Diceros bicornis minor: one gene and its partners. The protein of the gene in region 3 interacts with the protein of the main gene of each other region in a pairwise test. Links are inferred from orthologs where the notes say so. Each region holds a gene or a part of one and is shown on either strand. Other genes may lie near its edges. The genes, in order: cytochrome c oxidase subunit 5B, mitochondrial; CCND3; TFIP11; POLL.

Evidence for each region.
Region 1: the proteins of TFIP11 (region 3) and cytochrome c oxidase subunit 5B, mitochondrial interact in binary tests that used the Homo sapiens proteins (3 or more experiments, as listed by UniProt). The two-hybrid records come from large-scale screens. The link is inferred for Diceros bicornis minor from reciprocal best matches to the Homo sapiens genes TFIP11 and COX5B.
Region 2: the proteins of TFIP11 (region 3) and CCND3 interact in binary tests that used the Homo sapiens proteins (3 or more experiments, as listed by UniProt). The two-hybrid records come from large-scale screens. The link is inferred for Diceros bicornis minor from reciprocal best matches to the Homo sapiens genes TFIP11 and CCND3.
Region 4: the proteins of TFIP11 (region 3) and POLL interact in binary tests that used the Homo sapiens proteins (3 or more experiments, as listed by UniProt). The two-hybrid records come from large-scale screens. The link is inferred for Diceros bicornis minor from reciprocal best matches to the Homo sapiens genes TFIP11 and POLL.

Annotation. Positions count from the first base shown.
Region 1 is NC_080779.1:15,641,671-15,648,849, forward strand, and holds cytochrome c oxidase subunit 5B, mitochondrial, read right to left. Parts: upstream 2,372-7,179; 5' UTR 2,344-2,371; coding exon 2,241-2,343; intron 1,710-2,240; coding exon 1,636-1,709; intron 1,462-1,635; coding exon 1,362-1,461; intron 808-1,361; coding exon 695-807; 3' UTR 616-694; downstream 1-615. UniProt on the Homo sapiens protein: Component of the cytochrome c oxidase, the last enzyme in the mitochondrial electron transport chain which drives oxidative phosphorylation.
Region 2 is NC_080753.1:23,495,622-23,504,013, forward strand, and holds the start of CCND3 (G1/S-specific cyclin-D3), read left to right. Parts: upstream 1-5,161; 5' UTR 5,162-5,279; coding exon 5,280-5,477; intron 5,478-6,354; coding exon 6,355-6,570; intron 6,571-8,392. UniProt on the Homo sapiens protein: Regulatory component of the cyclin D3-CDK4 (DC) complex that phosphorylates and inhibits members of the retinoblastoma (RB) protein family including RB1 and regulates the cell-cycle during G(1)/S transition.
Region 3 is NC_080774.1:20,626,744-20,635,160, forward strand, and holds the start of TFIP11 (tuftelin-interacting protein 11), read right to left. Parts: upstream 3,268-8,417; 5' UTR 3,198-3,267; intron 1,169-3,197; 5' UTR 1,160-1,168; coding exon 951-1,159; intron 1-950. UniProt on the Homo sapiens protein: Involved in pre-mRNA splicing, specifically in spliceosome disassembly during late-stage splicing events. Intron turnover seems to proceed through reactions in two lariat-intron associated complexes termed Intron Large (IL) and Intron Small (IS).
Region 4 is NC_080745.1:66,687,302-66,695,200, forward strand, and holds the start of POLL (DNA polymerase lambda), read right to left. Parts: upstream 3,427-7,899; 5' UTR 3,381-3,426; intron 3,353-3,380; exon of another isoform or gene 2,561-3,352; 5' UTR 2,551-2,560; coding exon 2,391-2,550; intron 1,661-2,390; coding exon 1,366-1,660; intron 902-1,365; coding exon 739-901; intron 360-738; coding exon 42-359; intron 1-41. Other genes in the region: protein DPCD, read left to right, coding at 3,536-3,599, 6,071-6,136.

The DNA of each region.
Region 1 (7,179 bases), on a different chromosome or scaffold from region 3:
ACATATTTTTTTTTTACAGTTGGTTTTTCAAATCAAGATCCAAACAGTCCACGCATTGCTCTTGGTATCTCCCTCACAACCATTTCACGTGACAGGTTCTACATTTTCTTTCCTCCTCGCAATTTATTTGAAGAAACTGGTCACTGGTTTCTGGAATTGTCCCATATTCTAGATTTTGCTGATGGTATCCCCATGAACTATGTTTTAAACCTGAGTCCCTCAAGACTTTAAAGCCCCCAAAACGCTCCTCACAAGGTCCCTTTCTAATAATACTGTGAGGACCTACCATCTGCTAGGCTCTTTATATGTTATTATTACCTCTAACACCTCAGAAGGTATTTATCTTTTTTTGGTAGACATAACCTACGCTCAGAGAGCATGCCCCCAGTGACAAAGCTAAATGAGGGAGCCACTCTTACAAGTCCAGTCAGCCTGGCTCCACAGCCCATGCTTTCCCCATACCAGGTGGTCCCAAGCACTGTATTATGAGATTGTCAATCTCGGTGTATGCAAGTGGATAATAAGCTAATATTAGGAGACAGCTATTCTTGATACAAGCATCACCCATGCCTTCCCAAAAATACCGAAAAGAAATAAGACCAGGCAACTATGGGAGAAGAGGCCAATGCAATAGCTAGTCTTTACTGGAAAGAAGAAACTTTACAGCACATTTTGAGTAAGTTAGTGCAAAGGCTCAGTGGGCTAACTGGTGGGGCACCAGCTTGTAATGGGCTCCACAGCTAGGGCATCGCTGGGTCTCGCCTTTGTGCAGCCAGAACCAGATGACAGCACTGTTGTCCTCTTCACCTGAAAGGAAAAAGGTGGTTGAAGGCCATCCAGCCTAGAAGGGGAGACTTGCAATATTAGTCTCATCCTCAGACACCTCTGAGGCACAAAGTTATGGCTGACATCTTAAGAGATCAGTTCAAGCTCTCCTCCCCACTTTTCAGATAAAGAAACTGAGGCCCTGAGTTTACCTGTGAGTAAACTGACCTCGTATCAGAGTCACTATAGTTCTAACAGTTCCACTGCCTAAATAGAATCCCAAAGCAGCGTCCGTTCTGCTGTATTCCTAGTGCCTCAAATGGTGTCTGGCAAAGAGGAAGTACAATATTTTCTGCAGGAGTACTCCTTCATGCTGCATCGCCAATGAGCCAGTATTAATGATGGTCTATGTCTCTTTACAGTAAGGATGACCTACTCAGACTAACGAGGCTTGAGAGGGCCAGGACCCTTAGAATAACTCATTTACACACATCTCCTCTTTATAGACATGCAAAAGATATGGAGCAGCTTACAGACATGCTGTATAGTAGAATATATTAAACAAATGGATAAGTAAACAGTGGCAAGGTACTTACAGATGCAGCCCACTATCCGCTTGTTGGTGATGGAGGGGACTAAATTAGGGTCCTCCTTGGTGCCTGAAGCTGCCTTTGGGGCCAGTATATTGTACGGGTCCTGATAAAACAAGAATTGAGCCGTTATGCCAAATGACCCCTACCCTCCAGAGGCTAGCGGTACTATTCCCACCAGCCAGGATTCCTGCATCAAATGCTCCCAGAGAGGGGACTGCTCTGATCCCACCCAAGACCACGAGCTCCAGAGAAGACACAGAAAGGAGTTTCTCCTCACCAGTCCCTTGCGTGCAGCCACCAAGACCTCCCTCTCCAGCCCAGTCGCTTGCTCGTCATCAGTGGGAACACCACCTAAAGGAAGACCCGTGAATTACGATGTCGTCTGACATGATCACGACGGAAAACGCACATACATAAATCTTTGCATACAGTTCGTAAGCTCCTAAAGGCTACTCATACACCTTGTCCCCCAAGACAATGATCCCCAAAAGTGGCAGCACGGGGGGGAATCTTTTCTTCCTTCAACCACGGAGGCCAAGTTTTCGACACATTTTTTTCCTAAAAGCAGACCCATCAGAGTCCTAGTGGGGTTCCTCCGATTTGAGGTGGGCGCAGGTCTGACGGCGGCTCAGCCTCCCACATCCCGCTGCAGTTCCTGTCCCCCAAGGTCACCCGGCATCTCCGTTTAGGAGTCTTTCGCAGCAGGGTCAGTTCGGAGGGCGGCAGCAGGGGCAGCCAGGAACAACAGGGAGACGCCGGCGGGGGCTGCGCAGCGGTCACCGGGGCCCCGAGGAGCTGAACGGTCAGCCCCGCTTTGCCGCCCTAGCCCCACCGCGGGAGGGCGACGGCGCCGGTCCCCGGCGTGCCCGGCGGGACGAGTACCTTTAGACGCCATAGAGCGCACCGCGGCGACTCCCTGGGGACCGCGCGCCCTCAGGGCCTGCGCGGCCACCGCTCCAGCTCCGCGAAGTAACCTTGAAGCCATCACGCCCGCTACAAACAACAGCACTTCCGAGAACGGGCTCCAGAGGCGGGCGGGACTTCCGGGGGCGGGATCTTCCCCTCCGTCTCAGCCTTCCGCTTCCGTCCGCCCCGGAGCCCGCCCCGCTCACGTGACTCGCGGGGGACGACGACGGCTGCGCATGCCCAGCTCTGCCTCACTGCCTCCGCTGCCCAGCCCTGGTGGTGTGCGGGCGGGCACGGGGTCTGTTGTAGGCTCTTGCGGCCCAGCTGTTCACTAATGTTGAGATTTGGGGCGACTCGTTTTGCGTCCGTGGGACTCAGTGACCTCGTCCGTAGAATGGGTAACCATACTCGAGTTCCTGTGCGTCTTGCCTGATAGTTGTGCTCGGTAAACCTGGAGGCTGCTGATGAAGTCTTTAAGCCCGCGTCTGTCACGACACCTGCTGGACCCCAAACGATTGAACTTTAGGAGCAGCTTCCTGAAAGCCACTGTGTTGACTTTTACGCTGGTTCGCCTGGCAGTGGGTGAGCCACCGCGAACTTGTTCCATCGCCCAGTCCTGAACAACCTGCGCAGGACCTCCCCGCAGTCCTGGCATCAGTTTCCTGTGACAGTTGTGTTGGGGTGAGGAGGTCATTACAAGCGCTGAGGTCCAGCCCTGAGGCGGAGCCCGGGGAGGGGAGGAGAGTAGGGCCAGATTTAGGACCCCTCCCAGGACCAAGGCCCTTGGTGATGTGGGAGTGAGGGGGTGACTACACCGGGAGGTTAATTAACCAAGGGAGAGGTTAAGGGAGGGGTGTTGATAATGGGAAAAGGAGTCACAGAACGTTCTGGGGCCACAAGACACGGAAGTCTTGCATTTGATGACCACCATCTTGGAGATGCACGTTCTAGCATATTAAAGGTTCTGATTAGGCCTGAAACAGAGTATCCTGTTTAATTTACCTGTGGTTTAAGCCAGAGTTTTACCATCTTAATTGACCACTCTTTGCCAAGAAACACCTACTAACCCAACTCTCAGCGGACCAGTGAGAAATGTCAGTTCTGGTGTGTCACAAGTCCCTGCCGCCTGACCATAAGATGGTTCATTCCAGACTATGAAATGGAAATAGAGTTTAAGCTTGTTTCTCACTCTCATAGTAGGCTCGCCTAATCCTAGGACATTTTTGCTGGTCCTTGTTCAGCTCACAAAATCCCTGGGATTATTTACACTATGCGAGTGAGCTCGACTGTCAGGACCAGGCTCCAGGCACCCCCCACCCCCACCATCCCTTGCTCTCTCCAGCTCCCACCACCCTCCGCTCACACCCCTGCCCCCTAATGTCTCCTTGGGAAATAGTTTGGCTTGGAGAGCAGTCTCCCACTCCTGCTCCATCATTGTCTTTGCCAAAGCAAACTTATTGAGCATTATTTTTTTACTTTTATAGGATAATTTTTAGTAGTCAAAAATGCACATTATACTAAGTCAAACAACATGTATGTGTAAGGAAAAAGTTACTTGTTAACAGTTTTGTGCTTACCCTTTTCTTCTCTCTATGCCAGGGTTTCTCAACTTCAGCACTGTTGACATTTTGGACTGGATAATTCTTTGCAGGGCATGGGGGTGGGGGACTGTCCTATATGCATTGTAGGACATTCAGCAGCCATGCCAGTAGCACTCCCCAGTGGGGACAACCAAAAGTGTCTTCACCCGTTGCCCTGTGTTCCCTAGAGGGCACAATTGCCCTCGACTGAGAATCACTGCTGAATGCTCATATAGACATAGTCAAACAATTGCACACATTTGGGATGTTTCTTAAAAGTGTACAGATATATAAATGAATATAAGACACAAAAATATATAACTACTATGCAAATTATTAGTAAGTAGATTGTTTCACTTAAAAAAATATTTTGTGGACATCATAAATCAATACATACAGATATAACTCATTTTATGTAATTGCTGCATAATATTCCCCACTATGAATGTACTGTAATCTCCCAGACCATTTCCCCCTTGATGAATAATCTGATGGTTTCTAGGTTTTTGCCTCTCAAACAATGCTGCAGTGCATGTCTGTGTACATATAGCCTTATATTCTGGAGCCTTCGTTTCTGGGCAATAAGGTCAAAGGGTGTGTACATTACACATTATCATAAATTCTGCCAGGTTGTTTTCCCAAAAGTTGGAAGCAATTCATGCTCCCGCCAGCAGGGTGTGTAAGTGCCAGTCCCTACCGCCATGGCCTGCGAGTTGCGGGCCTTGTGCAAAGTTCACCCAGGGATGAGTAAAAAATCAGATGCTCTTGGTGTCTGCATTTTCAGTTCCCTGACTTCTAAGGCAGCTGACATCTTGTCATATGTTTATTGATCATTTACATTTCCTCTACTGTGAACTGCCGGGCTCAGCCACTCGGGTAAGCTCCTTAACTTCCTTTTGCCTCAGTTTCATTTTCTTTAAAATGGGCATAGCACCTACCTCTGGTGCTGTTGTGAGGACTGAAGGCGTTAACACTTGTAAAGCGCTCAGAACTGTGCCTACCACATTGTAAGCGCTCAGTTAATGCTGGCTTAAAAACTTCTATTCAGTATATTCATAGTTGCTTGTGTTTACCTAGAGGAACTCTGGGAGGATGCACAGGAAGCTAACACAAGTAGCTACCTCTGTATGCGTTGGGGAGGGGAGGCAGAAGAAGTGGGGGGACAATGGGTCGGACGGACACTGGGCCGCTGAGGGCAGGGGTGGGGGTGAGACCTCTTATACTATTTTGGGGTTTTGTTTTAACTATGTGAATGTATTACGTATTCAGAAATGAAATAAACATTTCTTGGTTATTCATATTCTTGTTTGGGGAGATTATCTTATTGACTTACAGACTCTTAGAATGTTAGGAAGATTATATCCAGTCCTTTCTATGGGCCTAGGCTGGTCACTATTCAGGAGTGAGTAAAATGTGGGTTCTGCCTTGAATCTATCTTAAAGTAGAAAGGGCAGGAGGTTGTTCTTGGTTTGGGCAGAGTTCACACAAGCTTAAAGTAATGGGGTCAAAAATGGGGCCTAATCTGCAATTCTGTTGCCCGAAGGAGCAGCTCCAACATCAGAGGCCCTGACCACTCACAAAGGTACAAGTTAGGCCAGTTTTTAATTAAAATGGGCTTGGGGGAGATGGTGCTCTATGCAGGCCTGCCCAGATCCCATATCAGCCAGGGACAGCCCAGACCCCGAGGGCCCTCTAAGGAGACCTGAGGAAGATGTGACAAAGTGGCTGAACCTCCAGCAGGCTGCTGAGAGCTGGGACCCTTCCAGCAGAAAAGCCAGGTCAGAACCAACTGAGATGCCACAAATCCAAAATGGGTCACTTGGACCTTTAGTCAGCAGGAGGGCCTGGCTGCAGCTGGGGCTGAGAGAGATCAGAGGAGGCTTCTTAGTTAAAGGTTTTGTGTGTGTGTGTGTGTGTGTGTGGTTTTTTAAGAAACAAAAGGAGTCTAGTGAACTGGTGGGGCAGCACAGGGCACCTCACACAGGAGAAAACATGAATTTGCCACCCTTCCCCTCCCAGGACCCTTCTCTCACCGGTTGACCCCCCTTCCCAATCCAAAAGAACCCCATTTAGGGCTGGCCCAGTGGCGCAAGCAGTTAAGTGCGCGCGCTCCACTGCAGCGGCCCAGGATTCGCAGGTTCGGATCCCACGCATGCACCAATGCACAACTTGTCAAGCCATGCTGTGGCGGCGTCCCATATAAAGTAGAGGAAGATGGGCACGGATGATAGCTCAGCGCCAATCTTCCTCAGCAAAAAAAAAAACCGATTAGCATCGGGTGTTAGGTCAGGGCTGATCTTCCACACACACACACACACACACACACACACGAGCTCCATTTATTATTCCAGAGAGGAACTTGAGCTCCACCTGGGAAATCCTAATATTCCTCTCTTCCTCCACATTCACCTCTTCCTTCCCCTCCTCAACCAGCCTCCACCCCCTCCTGCTGGGCCAGCCCCTGTTCTTCCTAAGTCTGTTAGGGCCCCACTGAACCACATGGAAGAGTTTAGTAAAGAACTGCTTGCAGAGGGATGTGCAGGGTTGACGGAGCCCCAAGGGATGGTGAGGACCAGAGACGGCCACGGTGGGACGCTCTGACCACTCTGGGCCTGGCGGTATTGGCACCTGGTGAGAGCTGTAGCAGCAGAGCCTTGGCAGAGAGGGCGGGGTGGAGGTGCCGGACAAACGCAGACATCTCTCTCCTCCCACCCTTTTTGTCCTGCCAGTGAACCTAACTGGAAACCAGAGGGTGAGAGAGTCCCTTGATGGGAGCCATGGAGGACAGCCCCTCAGGCACAGAAAGTGGAGAGAAGGCTGCAGGGTGGGTCTGGAGGGACAGACAGGGAGCGACCAGCATGGTCTCTACCTGGGACAATCCCCTGCTCAGATGGTGCAACCACACTGTCACGGGCATTCTCAGTTCCTTGCTCTCTTGCCCATTGGTACCCAATACTAAATTGGCCCAGCCATTTATCTTCTGGGCTCCTGCTTCCAAGGTGGCTAGCGCTGCTGGAGAAAACCATACACCATGACAGGCCTGTGACTGTCACCCTTGGCCGAGCCATTGATGTTGGGAGCTTGGCGGCTCTTTCACTCGCTATTCTTAAGCCCCAGCTCTGCCCCTCTTGTACTTCACTCAGCCTCCCTTCCCTCCTCTTCCTCTTTCACCCTCCTCTTCCTCTTCCTTCATCTCTCCCTCTGGTCTTGGAGGAACTGGGTTTCTCCTCCCCAAGCCTCCCCCTTCACCTGCTGGGCTCTTCACCCTCTCCCTGCATCAGGCGCCTTCCCTTGGCCTTCAAGGATGCCGAGACACAAGTCTTTCCTCAGTACAG
Region 2 (8,392 bases), on a different chromosome or scaffold from region 3:
CCGGGCGCGCACCGCTTCTCCGGCCATGCTGAGGCCGTGTCCCACATACAGCAACTAGAAGGAGGTGCAGCTATGACATACAACTATCTACTGGGGCTTTGGGGGAATAAATAAATAAATAAAATTATAGAAAAAAAAGTACAGTTTGGGAAGCGCTACATAGACCTTCAGTAAGTTATTTAATTCCATTGTACCTCAGTTTTCGCATCTGAAAATAAATCTGAGAGGGTGAGACAGTGGATTGTAAACACCCTGACCAGTGCCTGGTACATAGTGACATCTCAATTCATGTGGATCGTCTTCCCCTTTCCAGGAACTTACACTCGGGCTAGGGAGAGAGCAGGTCCAGAACCAGCCAAATGCAGGGCATGTGCAGTGGGATCTGCAGGAGTTTGGAGGCCAGAGGGTAGGTTCCTGCAGCTGGATTGTTCTAGGAAGGCTTCCTGGAGGAGGTAGGACCTGAACTGGGCCTTGAAGATTGAATACATAAACTGAGAAGAGAGGATAAATGGGCTGACCAGTGACGGAAGGGGGACTAAGGAGATGGGGAAGGCAATGAAGAACCTGCTAGGTTTTTAGAGGTCTACAGAGAAGATGATTCTGCTACTCTTTTTCTCTTTCTCATATCATTGTCTAACTGGAGTCTTCCCTGCTATCTAACTTACATCCCTCTTGCTGCAGTTGAAGGACACTTCTCCCTAGAAGTGGAGGGCAGTGGTTATTTCAGACTAAATGAGCTTTTGGTGTCTTGCTTAAGCACCTTTTTACCTGATATTGGGGTAAAGACCAGGTGAAGTTCCTTAGACAAAAGTGGCAGGAATTCTGAGGGCCAGTTCCCAGTAAAAGTCTTTAGCCATAAGTAACCAAAAGAAGGCATCATCTAAGATGCAAGAGCCAGGCCCAGGGGTGCTCATGGCAGGGAAGTCAAGGGAAATAAAGAACAGATTGTTAAATCAGGGCGGTGGGACACAGTGGCTGATCATTTGGGAAAACTAAAGCTAGACCCCCACTTAATATGATACCACTGAATAAATGTAGGTGACAATTTACACATTAAAAAAAAAAACAACAAAACTTTATTGTATGTACTCTTGAAAATGCAGATTTTGGGGGCCTCATCACATACTCAAAGAATGAAAAGCCCTGAGGCAGGACTCAGAAATCTGCATTTTTGGCAAGCTCTTTGGGTGATAAAAAAAATCATCTGTAAGTATTTCCTACATTTTCTTCTAGTACTTATATAACTTTAGGATGGGGAAGGCATGATTCAAAGGCAAAAATCATTAAAGAAAATATCAGTAAATAAGGCTACATAAAAATAAAAACCTTTTATTATTTTTTTTAAATTTGTAACCACTTTTATTTTATTTTTTTATATTTATTTATTTATGTATGTATGTATTTATTGAGGAAGACCAGCCCTGAGCTAACATCTGTTGCCAATCCTCCTCTTTTTGCTGAGGAATATTGGCCCTGGGCTAACATCCGTGCCCATCTTCCTCTACTTTATGTGGGACGCCACCACAGCATGGCTTGACAAACGGTGCATTGGTGCGCACCCAGGATCCGAACCTGTGAACCCTGGGCCGCTGCAGTGGAGCGCGCACACTTAACCGCTACGCCACCGGGCCGGCCCCATAAACCTTTTATTTGTTAAAAAAAAAGAACTTCACCATGAACCAAAAATGAGACGGAAACAGTGAACTAAAATTTGTGACAAAGAAAAAAGTATGAAAAAGGGTTAATGTCCTTAAAATATAAAGAGCACTTATAAATCAATAAGAAAACAAACATCCCTATAAAAGAATGGACAGAAATATGAATAGGTAATTAATTTACCTAAGAAATGTAAATAATATGTCAAAATATTATTACCAATAAATCACTTTTCATCTCTCGTTTTCTTTCTCCATAAAGAAAAGTGGTATATAGGCCGGCCCCATGGCTTGGCGGTTAAGTGCGTGCACTCCGCTGCTGGTGGCCCGGGTTCAATCCTGGGCGCGCACCGATGCACCGCTTCTCCGGCCATGCTGGGGCCGCGTCCCACATATAGCAACTAGAAGGATGTGCAGTTGTGACCTACAACTATCTGCTGGGGCTTTGGGGGGAAATAAATAAATAAAATTAAAAAGAAAAAAAAAGAAAAGTGGTATATATATATACAATGGAATATTATTCAGCCACAAAAAGAAGGAAATCCTGCGATTTGCAGCAACATGAATGGACTTTGAGGGCATTATACTAAGTGAAATAAGACAGAGAAATACAAATACTGTTTGATTTCACTTATATGTGGAATTTAAAACTCCTTACTCATAGAAATAGAGAACAGATTGGAGGCTGTCTGAAATGGAGAAAGGTGCTCAAAAGGTACAAATTCCCAGTTATAAGATGAATAAGTTCTAGGGATATAATGTACAGCACGGTGACTATAGTTAACGATACTGTATTGTATATTTGAGTGTTGCTAGGAGAATATATCTTAAAAGTTCTCATTCAAGAAAAAAAATTATAACTATGTGAAGTAATGGATGTTAAACTTATTGTAATAATTTTGCAATGTATACATATATTAAATCATTATGTTGTATACTCTAAACTAATACAATTGATATATGTCAATTATATCTCAGTAAAGCTGGGAAAAAATTTTAAAACAATGGTGATTAACTCTCTCATCAAAGATACACAGTCTGGGCCAGCCCGGTGGCTTAGCGGTTGAGTGCGCGCGATCCGCTGCTGGCGGCCCAGTTTCGGATCCCAGGCGCGCACCAACGCACCGCTTCTCCGGCCATGCTGAGGCCACGTCCCACATACAGCAACTAGAAGGAGGTGCAACTGTGACATACAACTATCTACTGGGGCTTTGGGGGAATAAAGGAGGAGGATTGGCAATAGATGTTAGCTCAGAGCCGGTCTTCCTCAGTAAAAAGAGGAAGATTAGCATGGATGTTAGCTCAGGGCTGATCTTCCTCTCTCACACACACAAAAAATACACAATCTTCTAACCTGAACAGTCCTATTCGATAATTCTGAAAGTAAAGAAACACCTTCCTTCAAGACAGATCTGGTTTCTGGTGATGTACTTACTTCAAAAGCTAGATTTTTTTAGTCTTCCTGCACCTTAAAAACCTCTTACACTTCATTTTTGCCTCCCCATAATTTCATACCTAATCTTTATAATTTTAAATCTATTGTTCTTTTTAATGAAAGAGTGCAATGCAATGAATAATTAGCTAAAGAAACTTCATACTTATATTTCTGAAGACAGGAGTAAAGGACTTACAAGATTAGACAAAGCACGTGACACATTCATGTTGGCACAACAAGGGCTCTTGAATTAAAAAATATAAACCACTTTTCATCTCTCCAGTTGGCAGAGTTGTGGTTTTTTTAAAATAGATATATAATGTTTGTTCATTAGATTGGTTCAGCCTTTCAGCAGGGAAATTTGGTAATAAGAATTGTATCAAAAGCCTTAGAATGTTTCATAACCTTAGATTGAGAAATTCCACTTCTAGAAATTAATTCACTTCTAGAAATAATCATGAGTCTGCACAAAGATATTACCACAAAAATATTTTACATATTGTTTCTAATAGAGAAGAATTTCCACCAATACAGATTTGGTAAAATGCATTATACATTCACCGAATGGCATACTGTGTAGCCATTAAAAATAATGTTGTAGCATATTTAACGACATGGAAAAGTGTTAACAGTATATTTTTTATTGACAAAAATAGCTTACAAAACAGTTTGCGATCTCATTTTGAAAAATATGTGTTTACTTATAGAGCAATTTTAGAAAAATAAACATTGACGTTTTAAAGAGTTATCTCTGGATGGTGAAATTGCAAGTAATTATTATTTTCCCTTGTTTTGTGTGGCTTATCTGTATTTTCTAAGTTTTTGCAATGCGAATGAATATTTCCATGATTTGGAAACTACAATAAGATTTATTCTATAAAAAAGAACAATTCATTGAGAAAATGCTTAACATAGAACTTGCCTTTTCTGTCCAGTGTCATTTCTCTAGTAACTCACTTCCTTAGTGTCTCCTCCCTTGGGAGGACCCCAGGAGAGGCAGAGATCCCCAAGGCCTCCTTCCATTGGAGCATAACTGGAGGCCTGTGGTCTGCCTCTTGGTCCTGTGGAATCCAGCTTTGGGGAAAGTTTGGGAGGTAGAAGAAATGGCAACTGGAAGATTTTGTAGAGTCTGATCAAGAAACTCCTTCAGAGAGGATCTAGTTTCTCCGCCCACTCTTTCCTCAAACAGAAACTAAGGCGGATTTCAGGGCTTGTCCAAGGCCACAGAGCCAACTTAATGACAAGGTGAGGCCTTGAATCCATGGCCTTTCCGCCCTGTTGTGTTTCTGTAATGTGCTGATTTCGACCAGCCCTTCTCACGCTTTAATATGCGCAGGAATCACGGGGATCTTGTTAAAATGCAGATTTTGATCCAGCAGGTCAGGGGTGGACCTGAGGGTCTGCATTTCTAACCAGCTCTCAGGCGGTGCAGATCTTGCTGGTCTGGGGATCCCAGTTGAAGGAGCAATGGCGTAGAGCACAGATTCTGGAGGCAGACTGTCGGCTGCCCAGTCCCAGCTCTGCCGCAGACTGACTGCATGATTGTTATAGTTACTGTGCTTCAGTTTCCTCGTCTGCAAAATAAGTGTAATACCTAACTCATGGAGTTTTCGTGAGGATTTAATAAGTTATTACACTTTAAGTGCTTAGAACAGTGTTCACTAAGAACTAGTTATTTTATTATTTATAGTCCCTGGAGCAAGCAGTGGGTGAAGTAGGGTCTGACGAATGAATGAATAACCATTGCAGAAAAGTTCTTTCCTGGGCAACTAGAGACAGAGAAGCAAAATGGGAGGGCTCTTTGCTGGGGAAGAGGCCCACCTCCAAGATAGTTCTCTCCACTGGGTGGTCAGAAGGGCCCGGAGCGCCCGGAAGCCGGCCGGCCCGCGCCGCGCCGACCAATGCGGCCGCGGGGAGGGAGGGGGAGCGCCCGCCAGCCCTTTCCGTCTGGGCGCCGGCAGCCCCGCCCCTTGGAACGTTGCGACGCTCGAGCATTCCACGGTCGCTACCTCGTCGCGAGGGGCGGGGCGCCTGTCAGGGAAGCGGCGCGCGCGCCGGCGCGGGCGGGCTGGGGCTCGGCCGCGCAGTGCCAGCGCCAGCACCAGACCCGCGCCCCGCGCTCTCCGGCCTGCCGCCTGCGTTCTGGCTCGCGAGCCCGCACTCTCGCCCTGCCTGTGCGCTGCCCGAGGATGGAGCTGCTGTGCTGCGAGGGCTCCCGGCACGCGCCCCGGGCCGGGCCGGACCCGCGACTGCTGGGGGACCAGCGTGTCCTGCAGAGCTTGCTCCGGCTGGAGGAGCGCTATGTGCCCCGCGCCTCCTACTTCCAATGCGTGCAGAGAGAGATCAAGCCGCACATGCGGAAGATGCTGGCGTACTGGATGCTGGAGGTACCGCCGGGACGGGTCTCCCCTCCCCCTCCGCCCCTGCGTCCCCGGCTCCGGACATCCCGGTGCCGCCCTATAGGGACATCCTGGTCCCAACAACAATCAACAAGATGCTTCGGTGGTCCAGACCCCCGGTTTGGCCTTCCACTCGGGCACCCTAGCCGGCTGCCTCCGTGGTGACCCGTTCCCTTCCCCAGCCCTGACTCTGACTGCCAATCATTTGGCACCCTAACCAATCCCCTCTTCGGGCCAGGAAAGCGGGACAAGAGCCACCCTCTCCCCTCCGGCTTCTCTCAGCGTCTCCTACTTCCCTCCCCCGCCCGATCTTCTCTGGAGTGCGCGCCTGGAAAACCCTGGGCTCGGCCGCCCCCGCCCCAGAGCCGGTTCCTGTGTCTGTCGCGGGGTTCTGGCGGGGAAGGCGGTGGGGGTGGCGCGCGCGCTGTTCCGGCCGTCAGGGAAATGAAAAGTGCGGGAGGCAGCGGCAGGAGTCTCCTCCCTTCCCTTTGGGTGTGTGCAGTGGGTGGTGGTAATGGGGGTAAGGTCCCAGCTCTCTGGCTAACATGGGTGACTCTTCCGTTTCTCCCCCTCCCCCCCGCTATGGGGGAGGGGAGTCTCAGTTTGGAATCCTTATTAAGGAAAGGAGCCTCTGGCGTCCCCCACCCCCCAGGGGAGGGGGAAGGAGGCAACGCGGAGGAAGTGGGGGGCGTCACCTTGGGGAGGACGCATCCTCCTCCGTATTAGTCCTTGACATTATAAGTACACTTATCCCCCTCCCATTTTTGCTCTCCACTCCATCTCCCGTCAGCACACCCCCCCCCCCTTTAGTACTGCTGCGTTTCCCACGGCCCTGCCCAGAAGTGACTGTGCCCACCCCCCCCAGGTATGTGAGGAGCAGCGCTGTGAGGAAGAAGTCTTCCCCCTGGCCATGAACTACCTGGATCGCTACCTGTCCTGCGTCCCCACCCGCAAGGCGCAGTTGCAGCTCCTGGGTGCGGTCTGCATGCTGCTGGCCTCCAAGCTGCGCGAGACTACGCCCCTGACCATCGAAAAACTGTGCATCTACACCGACCACTCTGTCTCTCCCCGCCAGCTGCGGGTGCGTGCATGACTCCCCCCACCCCCAACACGTACTGCCTCCTCACTTACCAGGAAAAGGAAAGCTAAGGCCTCAGAGGCTTTCTGCCCCCTGGGGAGGGAGCATGGCTACCAGAGGGCAGAGGCTATGTTTTTGGACAAAAGATGGGGCTGTGTGGTGTGATGGTTAGGGTAGCCCCAGCCCCAGTGGCTTGAGCTGCTGGCAGGAACTAAATCTCCTTCTCCTGACCTCCAGGGGGTGCCATTCCTTCCTGGTCTTTCCCCCAGATCCCAACAAGTCCAACTGCATGTCTACACTCCTAGTACTTTGCCTCTGGGTTTACACAGCCACCATGAGTTATTTATTGGCAGTAGCAGGACATGCCTGTACACCCCCACTGGAGTGGGGGAGTGGAATGTGCCTCATGTGGGGGAGGGGGGCTGCTTTGGTTGAGTCTTGATCCCAGTGTGGACTTTGTGATTGAAAAGCCTCCCAGAGCAGATTAAAGCCAGGCCCTGATTGCTCTAAGGAAGGGCCAAGGAGTTTCATCCTACCTTCTTTCCTTCCCCTTATATCCCAGAAGAGACGGCTCCTTCCTAATCCTCCATTCCCTGTCCTCATTCTGAGGAACTTGAGCAGCTGCTTTGGGCCTGGTAGAACCATCTCTCCCTTTCCCCCTTAGCCAAAGGCCAGAGCTGAGGGACAGACAGGGAGCTGAACTGCAGCTGCTTCCGATGTGATAATGATGCCCCCTCCCCTGGCCCGCCCACTCTGACCAAGGTCTTTCATAACCCTGTGGGGAGCTGCTGTCACTCCTGTGGTTTGGGAAGTGGCTCCCTGGGCCTCTTGCTGGGAACTTGGGCTGGGCTCTTCCCAGGGCAGGAGGGCAGGAGGGCAGGAGGGCCCCGGGTTCTCTTTCCCCACTGACCCTGGAGAGGAGGTGGCAGAGCTGCCTGGATCTGGAAGAGGTTATTCGGGGCATGCAGATCATCTCCTGGGGAGGCCTGGGGGAGAGGGTGGGTGAGCTGGCACCTTCCCCCACCCTGCTCTCTGTCCGCCAAGTCTTCTGCTGACCCTGAGAGGAGTCTCTGGGCCCCATCTCCAGGGGAGGAGGGCAGCATGCAGGCTGCTGTGATTGGCTGGCCAGGAAGCCAGGGTACTGGGGCCCCCGACTGCTGCTTGTCGAGGAACAGGATTCCTCTTCCTGCCAAGTAGCTCTCCGAGATGGGAGTAGGAGGCCAGAGTTGGGAATCTGGGAGGCCCCACAGCTCTTTGTGATGAATCTGGTAGTTTTTGGCAAGTCTGAAGGTGGAGCTGGTTTCCAGGGCTGGCGACCAAGATGTTTCCAGAGGGGTTTGGGCTGGAAGGTAGAAGGGGACTTCCTTTTTGTGAAAAGACTGGGATGGTATGTGTGTCTTTGTGTGACGGGAGTTTTTCAGAACAGGCAAAATGTACTCTTACTCTTCCCCCACTCCCTCTGCCTGAGCTGGGGGTGGAGCGTGCAGATGGCTTCCTAGAAGGTCAGAGTTGGACGGGATCTCAGAGAACTCCAGTCAGTCCAAATCCTTGTGCAGCAGAGAAGGTTGAGGCCCAGAGGAGGAGGGAAGGGTCCTGCCTCAGCCTTGCACTGAAGCCAGTGAGGAGAACGTGGGTCTTCTAGCTAGCCCAGGTGGCCTTAAAGGCTAGGGATGTGGGGGAAGCTGCCAGCCACTGCAGCTCATCGCCCCCAAGGGTAGGTTCTCCACCACACGAGGGCTGAGAGTCTCAGGGGTTGCCCGGACACAGGATAAGGTGGCTGCCTTCCCTCATACAGGTCCCCATGCCTCCCCACAGGAAAAGGCCA
Region 3 (8,417 bases):
TCTTTTGACTATGCAATTCTTCACCTCTGATCTATTTGCCATCTACTTTTACATTTCCCTGCCAGATGAGAAGGGGTTGAATTGATCTCTATACTCTTTCTCCCCAGTAGCAACGGGCTGGAGCCTACAGGGCACAGATGGCGACAGGGAGACACCCACACCTGCTACACACTCTGGTCAAGCGAGCTGTAGCCAGTGCACACGTGACTTCAAACTGAGGAGGGGACTTTCGGCCTGAATCCTCATCTCCCTGCCCCCTCCTAGCCCAGGCCTCCCCCTCTGCAGGGACCACCGCCTCCTCACACAGCTCCATCTTCCACTGTGACTCCACGACAACTCTGCACACCAGCCAAGGGTGCAGACACAGCCCCGCCCCACGCCACACCTCTACCACAGACCCTCGGCCTCTTCTCAAACTGTGCTCCCCTCCCTCTCTCCACTCCAGCCCGCAAAGCCTTTCGCGTCCTCGCGGATATACCCTGTGGCCTCCCGTTAAGGGTTTTTGCTTACCCGCACCTCTCCTACCCTAGTTACGTTCTTTCATTCAGCTCAAGGATGGCTTCTCCAGAGAAATCTTCCTGACCTCTCCAAATAGGTCCAACACCCTAAAACGTGCTCTCCCTTAGGTCCTAAATCAGTTACGAACTTCCATTGTGTGAGTTGTTAATTAACGCCTGTCTCCATCCACTCGAGTCTGGGATCTTGAAAGGCAAGGACTGAGTCTATAGCGCAATGCCTAATACACGTAATCACTCAACAGACACCAACTGATGATCAAATCAGTGAAGGAGCAGCCCTCTAGCCTAAAGAGGAAACAGGACCTCCCTAGCTGATGTCATAGCGCAGGGGCTCAGTAAGGCCAGGAGAGAAGTATATTTATGGGGGTATCTCCCCCACTCCCTCTCCGTCTTCCCTAAAGCAAGAGGAGGCAGCCCCATGCCGGCCAGTACCGTTTGCCTCCAAAGCTGGGCCTCTCTTCGTCCGAGTCCCGCTCTGCCCACACTCCATAGGTGGCCTCTTCCTTGGTCTGCCAGTGGCGCTGCCGGTTGGGGTTGAATTCATTCTGGAGATCCCAGTCGGTGATCTCGAAGTTCTCCCGCTCGTCCTCATCGTCATCCATGTGGCCTTCCCCGTCCCGGTACAAGTGGGACAGTGACATGGCCAGTCACTAAAGGAAGGGATGAAAAAGGCACAGTCTGTGATGAGTCCTGGGCATAGCAGGAGAAGGATTCCCTGTGAGTCCTACTCCCTGCTGCCTTCAGAACTTCCTCCAAACTCACGGTCCCTTAAAACCGTTGTTAAAATTCAACAAAGCAGACGTTAAAACCTTATTTTAGAAAACAAGGGCCAGCCCCAGTGGCCTAGTGGTTAAGTTTGGTGCACTCCGCTTCGGCAGTCTGGGTTCGTGGGTTCGGATCCCAGGTGCGGACCTACACCACTTGTCAGCCATGCTGTAGCAGCGACCCATGTACAAAATAGAGGAAAATAGGCAAGGATGTTAACTCAGGGCCTCAAGCGAAAAGTGGAGGATTGGCAACAGATGTTAGCTCAGGGCAAATCTTCCTCAGCAAAAATAGAACAGAGCCAGTCCTGATGGCCTAGTGGTTAAGTTCTGCATGCTCTGCTTTGGCAGCCCAGGTTTGGTTCCCAGGCGTGGACCCACACCATTTGTCTGTCAGTGGCCATGCTATAGTGGGAGCTCACATACAACAAAAGGGAAGATTGGCAACAGATGTTTGCTCAGGGCGAATCTTCCTCAGCATAAACATTTAGAAAACAATCGGTACGATAACAGATGGAAGAAAAGACTAGTCCCAACAGTCTACGTGATTCTCAAGCATGTATTTCCTAGTCCCAATGTCATAAAAATCACACACTCACATATACACAAACCACACAAAAATAACTAAATAAGTATGTTATTCTATATATTATTGCCTCCAAAACTGGGTGGTCATCTTCCAGGACCCTACACTTTATTATTTTTTCTATCATTGAGGAAAGAGTTATACTGGACCCTTGGCAGTCCCAGGAGGGTGATATTTGAGAATAAGCTTTCTGAAATACATTACTTGATGATGAAACCCTAAGACTTAGTTTTCCTCTGATGAGCTGGAAGGCAGTCTTAATTATGAACACTACCTTAGCAGTCAGACATCTATGGGTTGGAATAGAGAATTCAACTCTTGGTAGCTGGGTGATGAGATTTAGCTGTCTCTTAAATGGATTAACTACTATACCAACCTTTGAGAATGCTTATAAGTCAGATTCAATGAGATGGTGCTTAAAAAACACTTAGCTCAGAATAAGTGCTCCAGGAACAAGAGCTGTTACTGGAGTGCCAAGATTAGGATCATCATCACTATTACTGGATTAGGGAATGAACCTAGCAAAGTGCGTGTGAAATCAGGTACTACAATCACAGCCTGACTTCAAATCCCACTCCTACCAGGTACTCAGTGTATGAGTATTAAATGCACACGAAGTGCCAAGCATGGTGCACTACGCAGTAATACATTCACTGTGTGACAGCGACGTGATTCTTGTCGCCCAGCTGCTGCAAGCAGCCTCTGGGGACAGGAGTTCACTACCGCCACAGGCAGTGTCACACTCGGGTCCGCTCTGTTACACAGTTCTCCCTGCTTGTTCCAGTCTCTGGTGCACTGGCTGGGTGCTGGTGGACCCACGCTCATCCAGGAGTGCAAGGAGGGAGATGTTCTGGGAGGTCCCAGCTACATGGGAGTCAATAACGCCGCTGGGCAGAGTAATAATTAGAGTTGTCACGAGTTAGAGAGGCCTCCACACACGCCAAGCACTGGCTGGACGCTTCAGGCCGATAATGCAAGCATCAAGACCCGTCCACGAGGTGGAGACTACCGGCGTTTCCGTACAGGCTTCAGATAAGGAAAACGAGGCTGAGCGCGGTTACACGACCTGCCCTAGGTCCCGCGGCAGGCAGGGCTCGGCACCCGGGGACTTCAGCCCAGGCTCGGGCTCCGCTGTGCACACTTCGCGGCGGAGGCTCGGTCCCCGCCCGACCCGGCCCCGACTCCCCGGGGACGCCGGGCGGCCCGCCCTCGGCAGAGCCGTCGGCGAAACGGAAGCCCCACGGCGAGGCCGCCTTCCCCGAGCCCTCGCAGCCACTCCCGCCGGCGCGGACGCCCCTTCGCCCCCTCCCCGGCCCCCGGCCCGCTCACCTCGCCCGGGTCCCGCCGGCCACACACAGCTCCCCGCTCCGCGCGAGAGCCCCGCCGCTCGGGACGCCGGAAGCCGGACGTGCAGAGCCCGGCGCGCCGGAAATGACGTCGCGCGACCGCAGAAGTGGCGCGCTGGTTGCCATGGCAGCAGCGGAAGGCTACGGCGGCTTTGGCTCTAGAGCGGCCCGGCTGAGACGCCAGAAAGAAGACGCGGATGTTCTGGCCCCCGAGAGGCTGGGGGTGCCTTCCCGGCCGCGCTGGCCTCCCTGCCGCGCCCGCTCCGTGGAGACGCCCAGCCTGTCGCGGCTGCTGGACGTCGCCGAGCCGCCGTGGCCTTTGCCGGTCTGGGATTCTAAATCTGTAAAATGGGGGTATAGGACTGGCTCATGGGATGGTTGTGGGGAATCGCGTGAGGCAGTAGCGGGGCCGGAACACGGCATTCAGGTGGGGATGATGAAGGTCAGGACTGTCTCCTGTGTCCTTGGGTCTCCGGTAAGCCCCGTCGTGGGCACAGAGCAGTTGCCTTATGTAGGAGTTTGAGGGAGTGAAGGAATGAATGGGCAAACTCGAGAAGTCCCAAGTATTCCCTCCAGGAAGCCTCTCCATTCTCTTCCTTTCCAGCCGGTTGATAAATAAATTCATTCATTCACTGATCTAATAAAAATGTACTGTCTACTCTGTGCCGGGCTCGGGGGATACAATGAACAAACCAGGCAGCGGCCCTCCCAGGGAATCCCTCACTGGCTCTGAGTACCAATCTCAGCTCTGCCACTTACCAGCTCTGGGCCTTGGGCAAGTCATTCCATCTCTCGAAGCTTCAGTTCTCTCTCCTGCAAAATGGTTGAGGATCCAATGAGATACAATATGTAAGCAATTAAAACTGAACCAGGTACACAGTAGGTGCTTGGGAAGTGTTAGCCGTTAATGTTTTCGTATGTTCCCTCGCTCTGTTTCTCTCTCTCCTCCGTATGATGAAAATATCCAAGACGCAAGTGTTGGTGTGCTTTGGAGCGAAAAGATTTGGGTCTAACTTCGAGTGGGTGTTATTAATTAAATGAGAATCCCGTGAAGCCAATTAAATGCCAGGTTCTTGGTGTTCACACAAAATAACCAATAACTATTCTATAGATAAGAGAGAGAGGTGAGTTTTACTTGAGCCAGACTGAGGGTTATAGCTGGGGAAGGCCTTTTCAGGACAGGAAGAAAGCATTGGGGAGAGAAAGCCTTGGGGAGAAACATGGTTTTTGTTACAGTCTTATATCTTTTTAGAACAAAGAACTTATATTAAACACACCCGGGATACATTTTCATCAAAGTTTCAAAGAGGTATTTAGTTGCAAATTAGCAGGTCAACATGACCCTGATGTCGGGACAGGGAATTTATTTTAGGAGTACTAATATGGGCGTTACCAATAGGGTGTAGGAGAGGAAGGATACTTTCTTAAGAGAGTGCGTGCTTTACTTTTATGGTTAAAGCAGATATACAATGTATGTTTGATAGGCCAAAGGCAGGCATCTTTTTTAGTTCAAGCTGAATTAGTTTTGAATCAAATACTTACCCCATATACCCCAATATGTGAAAACTTACTGGGAATGGGGACTGTGCTTTACTGGTCTCTGTATCCCCAGTGACATGTAGTGTCACTGTGCCTGACACAAAGTATGTACTTAGGAAAGAAACTGGAAAGTGAGGTTTTAGTAGAGGAGAACGCCGGGGAGACAGAGTCTAAGAGACCAAAATGTCCACTAGGCAGCAGACTGAGGGAAACAGATGAGATAAACCATTTTGAGTCTGGGCCTGAAAATGTATATGCCTCTGTTTATAGCCCAAAGCCAAAAATAGAAGTAAGCTTGGCTTCTCAGTAGCTATGTCTGTAGCTTCACAGCAGACTTTATGGAGCTGAAATTACTTTGATCATGAGGGGCTGATGGGTTTGCTTCACCAAATGGACCCCACTATGTGGCTTCTGGAGAAGAGACCTTTGTGGACTGTTGTGGCGTCACTGCAGGCTCTGATCGAGTGACCAGGGTGTGTGTCCTCAAGAATGGACAAATGAAAATCACGTACCACGTGGTAGGATGCCCTGAGAAGATCGCAGCATCACTCTTGTGATATTCCTGCCAAAGATGCATAACCTGAAGGGAATTATGAGGATACGTCAGACAAACCCAAATAAGGGGACATTCTCCCAAAATCTGGCCTGTTATCTTCAAAAGTGCCAATGTTGTGAAAGTCAGAGAAAGACCCTAGAACTGTTCCAGACTGAAGGAAACTAAAGAGACACGATAACTAAATGCAACACATGAATCTGAACTGGATCTTTTTGCTATAAAGGAAGTTATTGGGACAAAGGGCAAAATTGAAATGGGGTCCGGGGTTTCCAGGGTGTGATGTGTCCGTGTTAATTTCCTGATTTTGATGGTTGTCCTGTGGTTACATTGGAGAGTGTCTTTGTTTTTGGAAATACTCAAGTCTTGGGGGTGGTGGAGCATCCAGCAAGCAACTCAATCTCAAATGATTAAGAGAAAAAGATGTCTTCTTTATGAACTTAGAATTTTTTTCCAAAATGAAGGTTCTGGAGTAAAACTTCAAGGATCCAAATCTCCACTTTGCTGCTTCCTGAATGTGGGACCTGGGGCAGGTTCCATCACCTCTCTGCACCTCAGTTCTCCCACCTGTAAAATGGGAATAACAGTGGTACTGCTCTAAAAGGGTTATTTTTAGGACAAAAAAAAAAAAAAAGGCTGACTAATACATGTAAAGTTCCTGGTATAGTAAGAGCTTCATAAATGGTTGTGGCTATTTCCACTGAAAAGACCCAGTCTTATTCCTCTGCACGGGAGGCCTCTCAGCCTCAAAGATGAGTAGATTTTCAGGATTTCTGGGCTCAAATGCCCAACCTCAGGAAAAGCAAGGAAAGAGGTGGCCAGAAGTTTAGATTCAGGATCTCATATCCACCCTGGTCTCTCGTCACTGCCCAGAAAAACCCTTGCTTTGGGACTCGGGGACGTCCAGGCCCGTGTCTAGATTCCCAATGAGGTACTCAGACATGTAGCCTTCCCAGAAGGGTTGCTAGGCAACACGGCTCCTGAGCAGGAGCCTGGAAGGGCCCCCGGACACTCATTAGTCCCTCCCTCTTTTTTCACAGATGAGGCAATGTGCCCAGGGCCACACAGTGAGTTTATAGACAGAGCCAGGCCTGGAACCCAGGAGTCAGACTTCCAAACCAGTGCTTCCTCTGCTGTACCATGCATGGGGCACCCACACCATTTCTCTCTACTTATTTGAGCTAATACTTATAGAGTGATTCCTGTCTATTCAGAGTCACAAAGACAAACCATACATCATCTCTTAGATTCCTTAACCTTCTGAGGTAGTTTCTATTACCCCCTGAGTTCACACGCCTAATCACCCCTTTATGTGGCCTATGCCATACAGCACTGTTTCCATATTGCCTTCAAAAGATCTGGGGGGAAAATCCTCGCCTAGTTACAACTTTAAATAGTTTGGTACCATAGAAACAATCAGTAAGTGGTATTTCAAAGCTGAGATATTTAAAGTCTAGCACAAGTACCTTTTCTAGGACAGTGACATTATACAGTTGCACATGGCTTATTCTTATTTTGAATTCTGTCACAAAAATGTACCCTGAACTTGGCAGAATTGAAAATCCAGATCGGCTGAGATTAGCAGATCTGGTTTCCCTTTAAATGTTTCTTACAGATGGTTTCTACCCTACTTATCTTTCAAGAATTTGCGAACACTCTATCCTTATATAGAAAAGCTGGGACATGAAGTTCCGTGGGCCTGGGGAATTATCTGTAAAGCACGCATCCTCTAAAGCACACAGGTGAGTTGAGGAACCACAGCCTTCATCACTCATCTATTCATTGATTCATTCATTCAGTCATTCATTAACAAATATTTTGTGGGTTCCTATGTATTATATCTATTACAATGTAACAGTTAACTCCAAACTTAGTGGCTTGAAATGACAGTGAACAGTATCTCATATGATTTCTTTGGGTAGGAATTCAAGAGTGGCTTAGCTAGCTGGTTCTGACTTGGGGTCTCTCTTGGGGTTGCAGTCAAGACCTTAGCTGGGACTGTCATCATCTGCAGGCTTGACCCGGGCTGGATGATCCATGTCCAAGGTGTTTCACTCACACAGCTGGAAGCCTGGTGCTGGCTGTCGGCAGGAGGCCTCAGTTCCCTGCCACGTGAACCTCGACACAGGGCTGCTGAGTGTCCTCATGACACGGTGACTGGCCCCCTCGAGAGTGAGTGACTCAAGAGAGAACAAGGCTGAAGCCACAAGGTCTGTGCTCTAGTCTCGGAAGTCACACACTCTCATTTCCCTGAATATCTTACTGGCTGCATGGTCAGCCCTATTTAGGGTTGCCAGATTTAGCAAATAAAAATAGAAGATGCCCAGTTAAATTTGAATTTCAGTCAACAACAAATAAGTTTTTAGTACAAATATGTCCCATGAAATACTGTCAAAGACTAAAAAGTTAGTCATTGCTTTATCCGAAATTCAAGTTTAATCATCCATCCTGTATTAAACTGGAATCCTGTCCCCATTCAGTGTGGAAAGGGACAACATACAAAAGGAGCATGATACCAGGAGGCAAGCATCACTGTGGGCCATTTTGGAAGCTGGCTCCCCCATGCCCTGATACGCTAGATATGAAATGAGGATAAATGGGGAGCAATTAAAAATAACTGTCCCTTCACTCCTGCAGTTTACAGTCTCATAAGACCAACTTGAATCAAATCACCAGGCCAATAAATGCAAAACCCTGACTTTGATAAAGTGCTTCAGAGAGAAGTAGTTGGAGCTTGGGACAAGGATGGCTCCTCATCAGAACAGCCATGTTTATTGGTTTTATAGATTGACCTTTTAGATGTGATTTTGTCTATGTGGGAGAGGGTATATGGAAGGTTTTGCCACTAAAAAAAGGTAACAAAACCCTGAAAATACACACACACACACACAAACACATGCAAAAAATGGTGAAAACTGAATAAGGTCTGTGGTCTAGTCAGCAGCACTGGACTAATGTCGATTTCTGGGTTTTGATATTGCACTGCAGTTGTATAAGATGTGAGCATTGGGGGAAACTGCATGAAGGGCACGTGGGATTCTTTGTATTACTTTTGCAACTTCATGAGTCTATAATTATTTCCAAAAAAAAGTTAACCAACAACCCATTTAA
Region 4 (7,899 bases), on a different chromosome or scaffold from region 3:
CCATCCCCCTCCCCGTACACCCTGCCCTGGCCCCCAGATACCTGGTAGGAGGTGACAGGCTTGTGGAAGCTCTTGAGTGCATTGATGGCCTTGGCATAGCCCAGGGCCCTCCACTTGTCTCCCTGAACACTGTAGGCTTTGGCCAGCACTTCCAGTTTCTCTGTGATGTGGAGGTTGTGGTTGGTCACCTTCTGGCTCGAAGGCTGTGCACAGACCCACTTATCCAGGCCCTCAGGAGCTGGGCAAGGCTCATCCTCTTCCTCAAGGAGGGTAGGGTAGCGGCCACTGATCAAAGCTTCCAGCTCAGCTGCGCTAACCTGGGTCTCTTCCCCATCACTGGTTTCATCATCAGAGACAGGCTTGAGGTAGGGAAGGAGAAGAGAGAATAAATTCCTGCCCCCATGAGGAGGGCTCCTTGTCGGTGGGGACGAATTTCCTGGTAAGATCCAAGAATGAGGCTGGGTCTTCTGCATCAGACTTGGGTCTCCTTAAGTGTGGGGCTGTCTTCCATGTGGCTTCCCCCAGAGCCCAGCCCTGGCATCCCCAGTGGTATGTGGTGGATATGGCCTGGGCAAATGCAGGAGTGATGAGTGCTGGGAAGAACTAAGTGGTTCATAATAAAGAGAACCCTCCTCTCGCAGGGGCCTGGGACTTTCTGAACAACTCTACCAGGCCCTCCCTGTTTCTGTGATCTAATTCCTAGGAGAAGGGAGCTGTCGGGGCTGGGAGGCTCCTGACCTGGGCTTGGATGCTTGGAGCCTCTTCTGCCCTCCGGGGAGGAGACACAAGTCTGGTAGGAGAAGGGGAAGGAGAGAGGGCTGTACGGAGCAGAGCCTCACAGGCTCTAGGAGGAGTAGAAGAGTCTTGGTCTGCCTTGCTGAGCTGTGTTTGGTCCAGGTACCTACAGGGATGGTGATGGGAGGTTAAGACACCAAAGATCTCACCCTATCTCTGCCCCCAATCCTTCTCTTTTCTTTTGTTTTTTTGAGGAAGATTGGCCCTGAGCTAACGTGTTGCCAATCTTCCTCTTTTTCTTTTTTCTCCCCAAAGCCCCAGTACATAGTTGTATATCCTAGTTGTAGGTCCTTCTAGTTCTTCCACATGGGATGCTGCCTCAGTATGGCTTGAAGAGCAGTGAGTAGGTCCGCACCCAGGATCCGAACCAGCGAACCCCAGGCCCCGGAAGTGGAACGTGCGAACTTAACCACTACGCCACCGGGCCGGCCCCTCCCAATCCTTCTCTACTATGAAATCTTGGTTTTCCACTGTGTCCACTTAAGACAATGAGAGTTATTTTTAATAAGCCAAGAAGAGTGCTCAAGATGCTGCCAGAAAACACTTGAAGAAAGACTGGGACCAGCCCACCTGTGGGGGATGAAGATGCTGAATCCTGCCGTGTCCACCAGCCTTCCCTCCTGCAGGCACAAGCTTAGCCAGGCTGACTTCACCAGCTGAGCACCGGCGGGCAGCCGGGGCAGTCTAAGGAGACGGAGGGCTCGCTCACAGTCCATGGCTTCATCCACCACAATGTGAGTGACCCCTGGGGCCTGGGCAGGGCATATCTGGCCACCATGCTGGATAATCTGCTTCTCAAAGAGTTCTGCCCGGGCTCGCCCAATGCCAGTGGGCACTACATGGGCCCGCAGGGAGCTCAGCCACTCTGTGGAGGGGACATCCAGATGCCTGTTGTCATAACTTTCACATATATCCTAAAGAACCCTTTGCAGTCCCCCGCCCCTAGACAATCATTTTCCTTCCATCCAGACAGCCTGCCTTCTGAAGGTTCCACCACAAGCATATAGCTAATTTACTCATGGGCCATCATTTGAATGTAAGGGGCAAGGATTTTGATATGTCCTGTTCCCTCGTGTAACCTAGGACAGTGTCTGGCACATCGTAGGTATCCTATAAATCACTTCATCTGATCATTTATTCTTTCAACAAATATTAATAGACACCTACTACTGTGTACCAGGCACAAGGCACACATGTTTTGCCATTACAGGCCTCACAGTCTCACAGATTCCCCCTCCCCACCCCCTTTTAGGTCTTTGCCATCTATTTGTCAATTTGGTTGCAAAATAACTTATAACTCTGGGGACCTGAGTGGGATTTCTTCCCCCCACCTCCTTGAGAGCAAAGGATTCTGCTGGTCATTTCCTTAGTGACCAGGGAGTATTTTCTGATTGATAGAGGTCTCGGGTGGGGTAGAAGATACCCAGCCAGCGGCCGGTCAAAGACTTGGGACCAAGCCTAGCACCAGGCAAGTACAAATAAACCTGCAGGCCCTGGGTGGGCAGAGTCAGCTCTAACATCTGATTCTGAACATGAACAATGTAGGAAGCCTGAGAGTTCAAGCACATGAGGGTTCTGAGGGTGGGTCTGCTCACCTCCTGCTGCTTCTCCGTGTTCTCTCTTGGGAATCTTTGCAAATGCTTTTGATGATGAATTGGCAGGAATTTTCTTCCGCTTGGGAAATGCCTTCAGGATGCCCCTGGGGTCCACTGAGGTATGGCTGGATCCTGACCTTTCTGTTTGAGAGCTGATCATAACAGCTGTCCTGTGGAAACCCAGAATTGCGGTTCCCCAACCCCTCTGCCTATAGAGGTGGGGTCTCTATTGATTAGGCCTTGGGGGCAGTAGCCCAGTTCCCAGGGGTCTCCCAAAACCAAATTGAACGCCAGTGGTTTAGCCTACCTCTACACTCACCAGCCTTTCCAAGCCAGAGTATTGGGGTATATGGGGGGAAGAGTGAGGCTATTTGGGGAACTTTTGAGAGTAAGGAAACGATATCATTCCTCAGAGAGGTCGCTCTCAAGATTCAGCGCAGTGTCTGCCCCTGCTGCATCCCACTTCCAAAGGGATTTACCGAAAGGGGACGCCAGGCTAGGAAACGAAGCTACAGCTTTAGTAAGCCCTTGAGCTCCCAAGAGCAGTGGAGGCTGCGGGGCACATAAACTCCACATAATCTTTCTCTAACCCCATCAGAGACCCACAGAGGAAAACCTGGGGGTGGTTAGGGGGGCAGTGGGAACGCCCTGCACCTGCCCTAGTCGCGGGTTCTTGGCATGCGGGTGCTCAGCCCCGCAGCTGCGTGGAGATGGGGCACGGCCGCAGCTGGTGTGGGGCGCCTTCCGGGACTGGGGAAGTTTCCGCCTCACAGCTGGGGGTAGAGAAGACTCCGGCAGGTGTGGGGCATCCGCCGCGTACGCAGCTGGCGCGCATGAGGGACTCACAGCTGGGGACCACAGAGGGACTGGGGTGTCGAGACCCCAACCTGAGGGGGCCCTGCCCCCTCCCCCTCCCGGGATTCGGTCCCGGGTGGGCTCCACTTCAGTCCCCGCGGGTCACCCGGGGGTGGCCAGGAATAAACCACTTACCAAGCGGCCACTAAGAGCGGACGAAGGCGTGGGCGGTGGGGCGGGGGTGGGGGGGGACGGGCAAATGCCCAGAAACCTTCCGGGTCAGCCGGAAGTGACCCTAGGCGGAAAGGTTGCCATGGCAGCGTCCGGGCGCGCGACTGGGCGGAGGGAAAATGGCGGTGACAGGCTGGTTGGAGAGTCTGCGGGCGGCTGAGAAGACGGCGCTACTGCAGGACGGTAACTCGAGGCCCCCCGCGAGTCCCCTCGTCCGTTCCCCCAGAGTCCTGCCTTCCGCGGTGGTGCCTCCAAGAAAGGGCCTCAGCCTGGGACGGCAGAGCTGGAAGGGTCGCGGCCGCCAGCCAGGCCAGGTCCTGCATTTGCAGATGAGGAAACTGAGGCCCAGAGAGATGATGTGACTGGAACACGCGTCTCTGGACACCCCCTGGTTTCCTCTACACCGCCCCACTCCGCTCTGAGTTCTGTTACTTAATAAATAAGAATTCCCTTCGTATTCAATATGTTATTTGCTCCTCATCGCTGTCCCGAGAGGCTGTTAATATCCACCCCATTTTATAGAAGAGGAAACGGAAATTCAAGAATATTTTAGACCAGCCTCAGCTGCTCCAACCAGTCAGTGGTACAACTGGATTTGTACCTGGGATCCCATGAACCTCCATCTAGGGGTTCTATTGCTGAAGGCAGCCTGGTGTCATGGAGGGGCGGGAAACCTGGGCTTTAGAATTGTGACAGAATTGTGACTCTGTCATTAATTCACCGTGGGCTCCCAGTCTGGCCCTTGACTTGTTTGGACTTCACTTTCCTCATCTGTAAAATGAGATGGATGGGCTACCTCTGTTATCTCTGAGGTCCTTTCCAGCTGTAGTGTTATGTTTGTAAGTGAACCTGTAAATGTTGCCTGGGTCTTTAGGGGAGACAGAGCAAGGGCCCAGGGCTGTGCCTGGAAGAGGTGGGCATGGGAGTATAGCGTCTTGACTTTCTCTCACCCTAGGATTGGACTGTATGAGGCTCCCTGTGCGTCAGGGTCGCTTCCTGGACCCACTTGGCAGCCAGAATGAATTAGGTCTGAATTCCTTTAGCTTTCAGGATACCAGCTAGGGATTCACATCCATACACAGAGGCCAATCAGGGAAGCGTGGAAATTGAAATCAGCTGCTCATTCACTTATTCATTTATGCAGTATTTAGGGAGGCTTTTACTATGTGCCAAGCTGTGTACTAGAGTAGACAGAAAAAGACATGTTGGGGCCGGCCCCGTGGCTTAGCAGTTAAGTGTGCACGCTCTGCTACTGGCGGCCCGGGATCAGATCCTGGGCGCGTACCGACACACCGCTTCTCCAGCCATGCTGAGGCCGCGTCCCACATATAGCAACTAGAAGGATGTGCAACTATGACATACAACTATCTACTGGGGCTTTGGGGGGAAAAAAAAAAAGGAGGAGGATCGGCAGTAGATGTTAGCTCAGAGCCAGTCTTCCTCAGCAAAAAGAGGAGGATTAGCATGAATGTTAGCTCAGGGCTGATCTTCCTCACAAAAAAAAAAAAAAAAAGACATGTTGTCCCGAGAGTTCACAGAGTGGTCAGGAAAAAGACATGTAAATAAATAATAGTATGTGTTAAATAGAGACTGGAATCTTCTATAAAATGCTATGAGAGCAGGAAGGTGGAAGTCATCTCTTTGAAGGAAGACCTGAGGGAAGAGGTGATGTTTATGGATCCTAAAGAATTAATAGGTGTTTGCTAAGTAGAGAAGAGGGCATGGCTGTTCCAGGAAGAATGGCTCACGTGTAAAGGCATGGAGGTGTGAAAATATATGCTGATTACTAGGGGAGTAACAAAATATTTAGTGAGGCTGAAGCATTCACCCCGTCAGTCATAACAATCCCTCACACCATGTCAAGTGCCAGGTGCTAGGATGCAAGGATGAATAACAGGTCTCTTTTCTCAAGGAGTAATGAGGGGAAATGGTGGAAAATGAAGAGAGATTGCAGATAAATTGGGGCATTTTGTGATAGCTCTCCTATGCCAAGCTAGATTTTGGATATTGTCTCAGGACAGTGGTTTTTGTTTTTATTGTAAAAAATACATAACATAGCACTAACCCCTTTAGCCATTTTTAAGTGTACATCTGTGGCATTAAGTACATTCACATTGTTGTGCAACCATCACCACCATCCATTTCCAGAACTTTTCATCTACTTCAATGTTAGTAAACACTAACTCCCCACTCCCCCTATCCCCAGCCCCTGGTAACCACCATTCTACTTTGTCTTTATGAATTTGATTACTGTAGGAGCCTCATATAAGTGGAGTCATACAATGTTTGTTCTTTTGTGACTGGCTTATTTCACTTAGCATAATCTCCTCCAGGCTCATCCATGTTGTCAAGTGTCAAAATTTCCTTCCTTTTTTAAGGCTGAATAATATTCCATTGTATGTATATACCGCATTTTGTTTATCCATTCATCTGTTGATGGACTCTTGGGTTGCTTTCACTTTTTTGGCTGTTGTGACTAATACTGCTATGGACGTGGGTGTACAAATATCTGTTCTAGTCTCTGCTTTCACTTCCGTTGGTCACAGGACAATGTTCAAACAAATATTTCATCAGCCAGGATTTTGTTAAATTTTTTTTGTTAATAGCATCACAAAACAATGTTGAGAACCTGATACGCTTTAAATTTTTTTCAGAAAAATTTGTATTCATTGTGGAAATATTAAAAATAAACAAGTCACCCATAATCCTGCTTTCCAGAGGTAATCATAATTTACATTTTCATACATAAACTTCTATATTTTTTTCCATGCATATGCACTCACACATATATATTTTTTCTTTTACCAAAATATCATACTAATATACTTAAAATTTTTTATATCTGCATACATATATACATATAGAATAAATATGTATAGAATAAAATATAAATAAATATTATATAATCTTTGGGTAAAGGAGGATATTGTAAGCATAACTTCTGGGTGGTAACCACAAAAGAAAAAGTAGTTGACTATATAAAAATTAAACACTTGTTTGGGAAAACCCACTTTAAACAAAGTTATAAGGCAATTGAAACTGAGAGTATTTGCAACATATATGACACATGGTTAATACATACAAAGCTCAATCAGATTAGTAAGAAAAAGATGAACACCCAAATAAAATAAGCTAAGGCCTAAATGGATAATTCACTAGAAACATGACCAATAAACCCTTGGAACAATATTCAACCTTACAAATATTTAAAGCCATACAAATTATCCTAGTGTGGTTATTAGAGCATGGACTTTGGCCTCAAGTGAGTTTAAGCCTGGGTCTGTCATTTCCTAGCTTTATGACTTTGGACAAGTTGCATGACCTTTAAGCCTCAATTTTTCTCATTTGTGAAATACAGGTAATGCGGGCACATAGGATTATTGTGAGAATTAAATGCCATAAAACATGTAAAGTGCCTGGCCAGTAGTAAGCACTGCATCCTTCCTAGACTCAAGACTGGACTGCAGGGGGAGAAGAGGGTCAGGCCATACACCCTCAGCTACTTGCAGGCAGCACCTTGTACCCCACTCCTGACAAGAAAACCCCTTCCAGCTCTATGAGCCATCCAAATGATTAAGGGTGGTGTGACCTAGGGGCGTACTGAGGGGCCCTGCAAATTTGGGGAAGTTTCCCTAGAATGCAAATTAGGAACTACTCAAGGGAAGTGTGTCCCAGGGAAGTGAATTGGACAGGAAAAAGGCTTGGTAGATCAGATACAGTTGCAGGTTTTAGCTAGTGGCACCTTCAGCTGGTTAGGGGCCTTGGGGCTCTTATTCGTCAAGCATACTTTGGGAAACCGTCTACTGGGCATTAGTCCTCTGTTATTAGTCTCACTCAGGAACTACCTATATCTACTTACCTATCTGTAAAAATAGGGGAAATTACATAGCCACTTTTAAGAAAATGCTTATGATTATACTAGATAGGTGAAAGAGTTGGGCTAGGAGACTCCCTTGGGTTATTCCATTTTTTTCAATGAAAGATGAATCAGTGTTCATCTATTCTTTCAATCAGTATTTAGTTGAGCACATAATATATGCCAGGTACTATGCTTGGTGTTAGGGAAACCATAGGCAGGGGGGATAAAACCTCTCCTGTCTAGTAGACGAGACAGGCAATAATCAAAGAATCACACAAATAGATGTAAAATCATAACCAAGGTAAATGCCATGAGGAAGACACATGGGGACTAACATCGTTTGGCTGTGTGATAGGAATGGCCTAGAGATGTGCAAAAGAAGGCAGAGCAATGGCATGGCTAAAGGGAGTGCTTGGTCAATATCCTTTTCAATATTCTGAGCACATAGGCTTGGTTTTAGGAACTGGGGAGAAAGATGCTTTTAAGAGTATTACACTATGTGGTAAATGCTCCATTATGAATATGAATAAAGCACTAGGGAGGCACAAACAGGGAAGAGATGAGTTTTGCTAATGTGGCTGGGAGTGATAGTTTAGGAAGATTTCCCAGTGGAAGTGACATTTG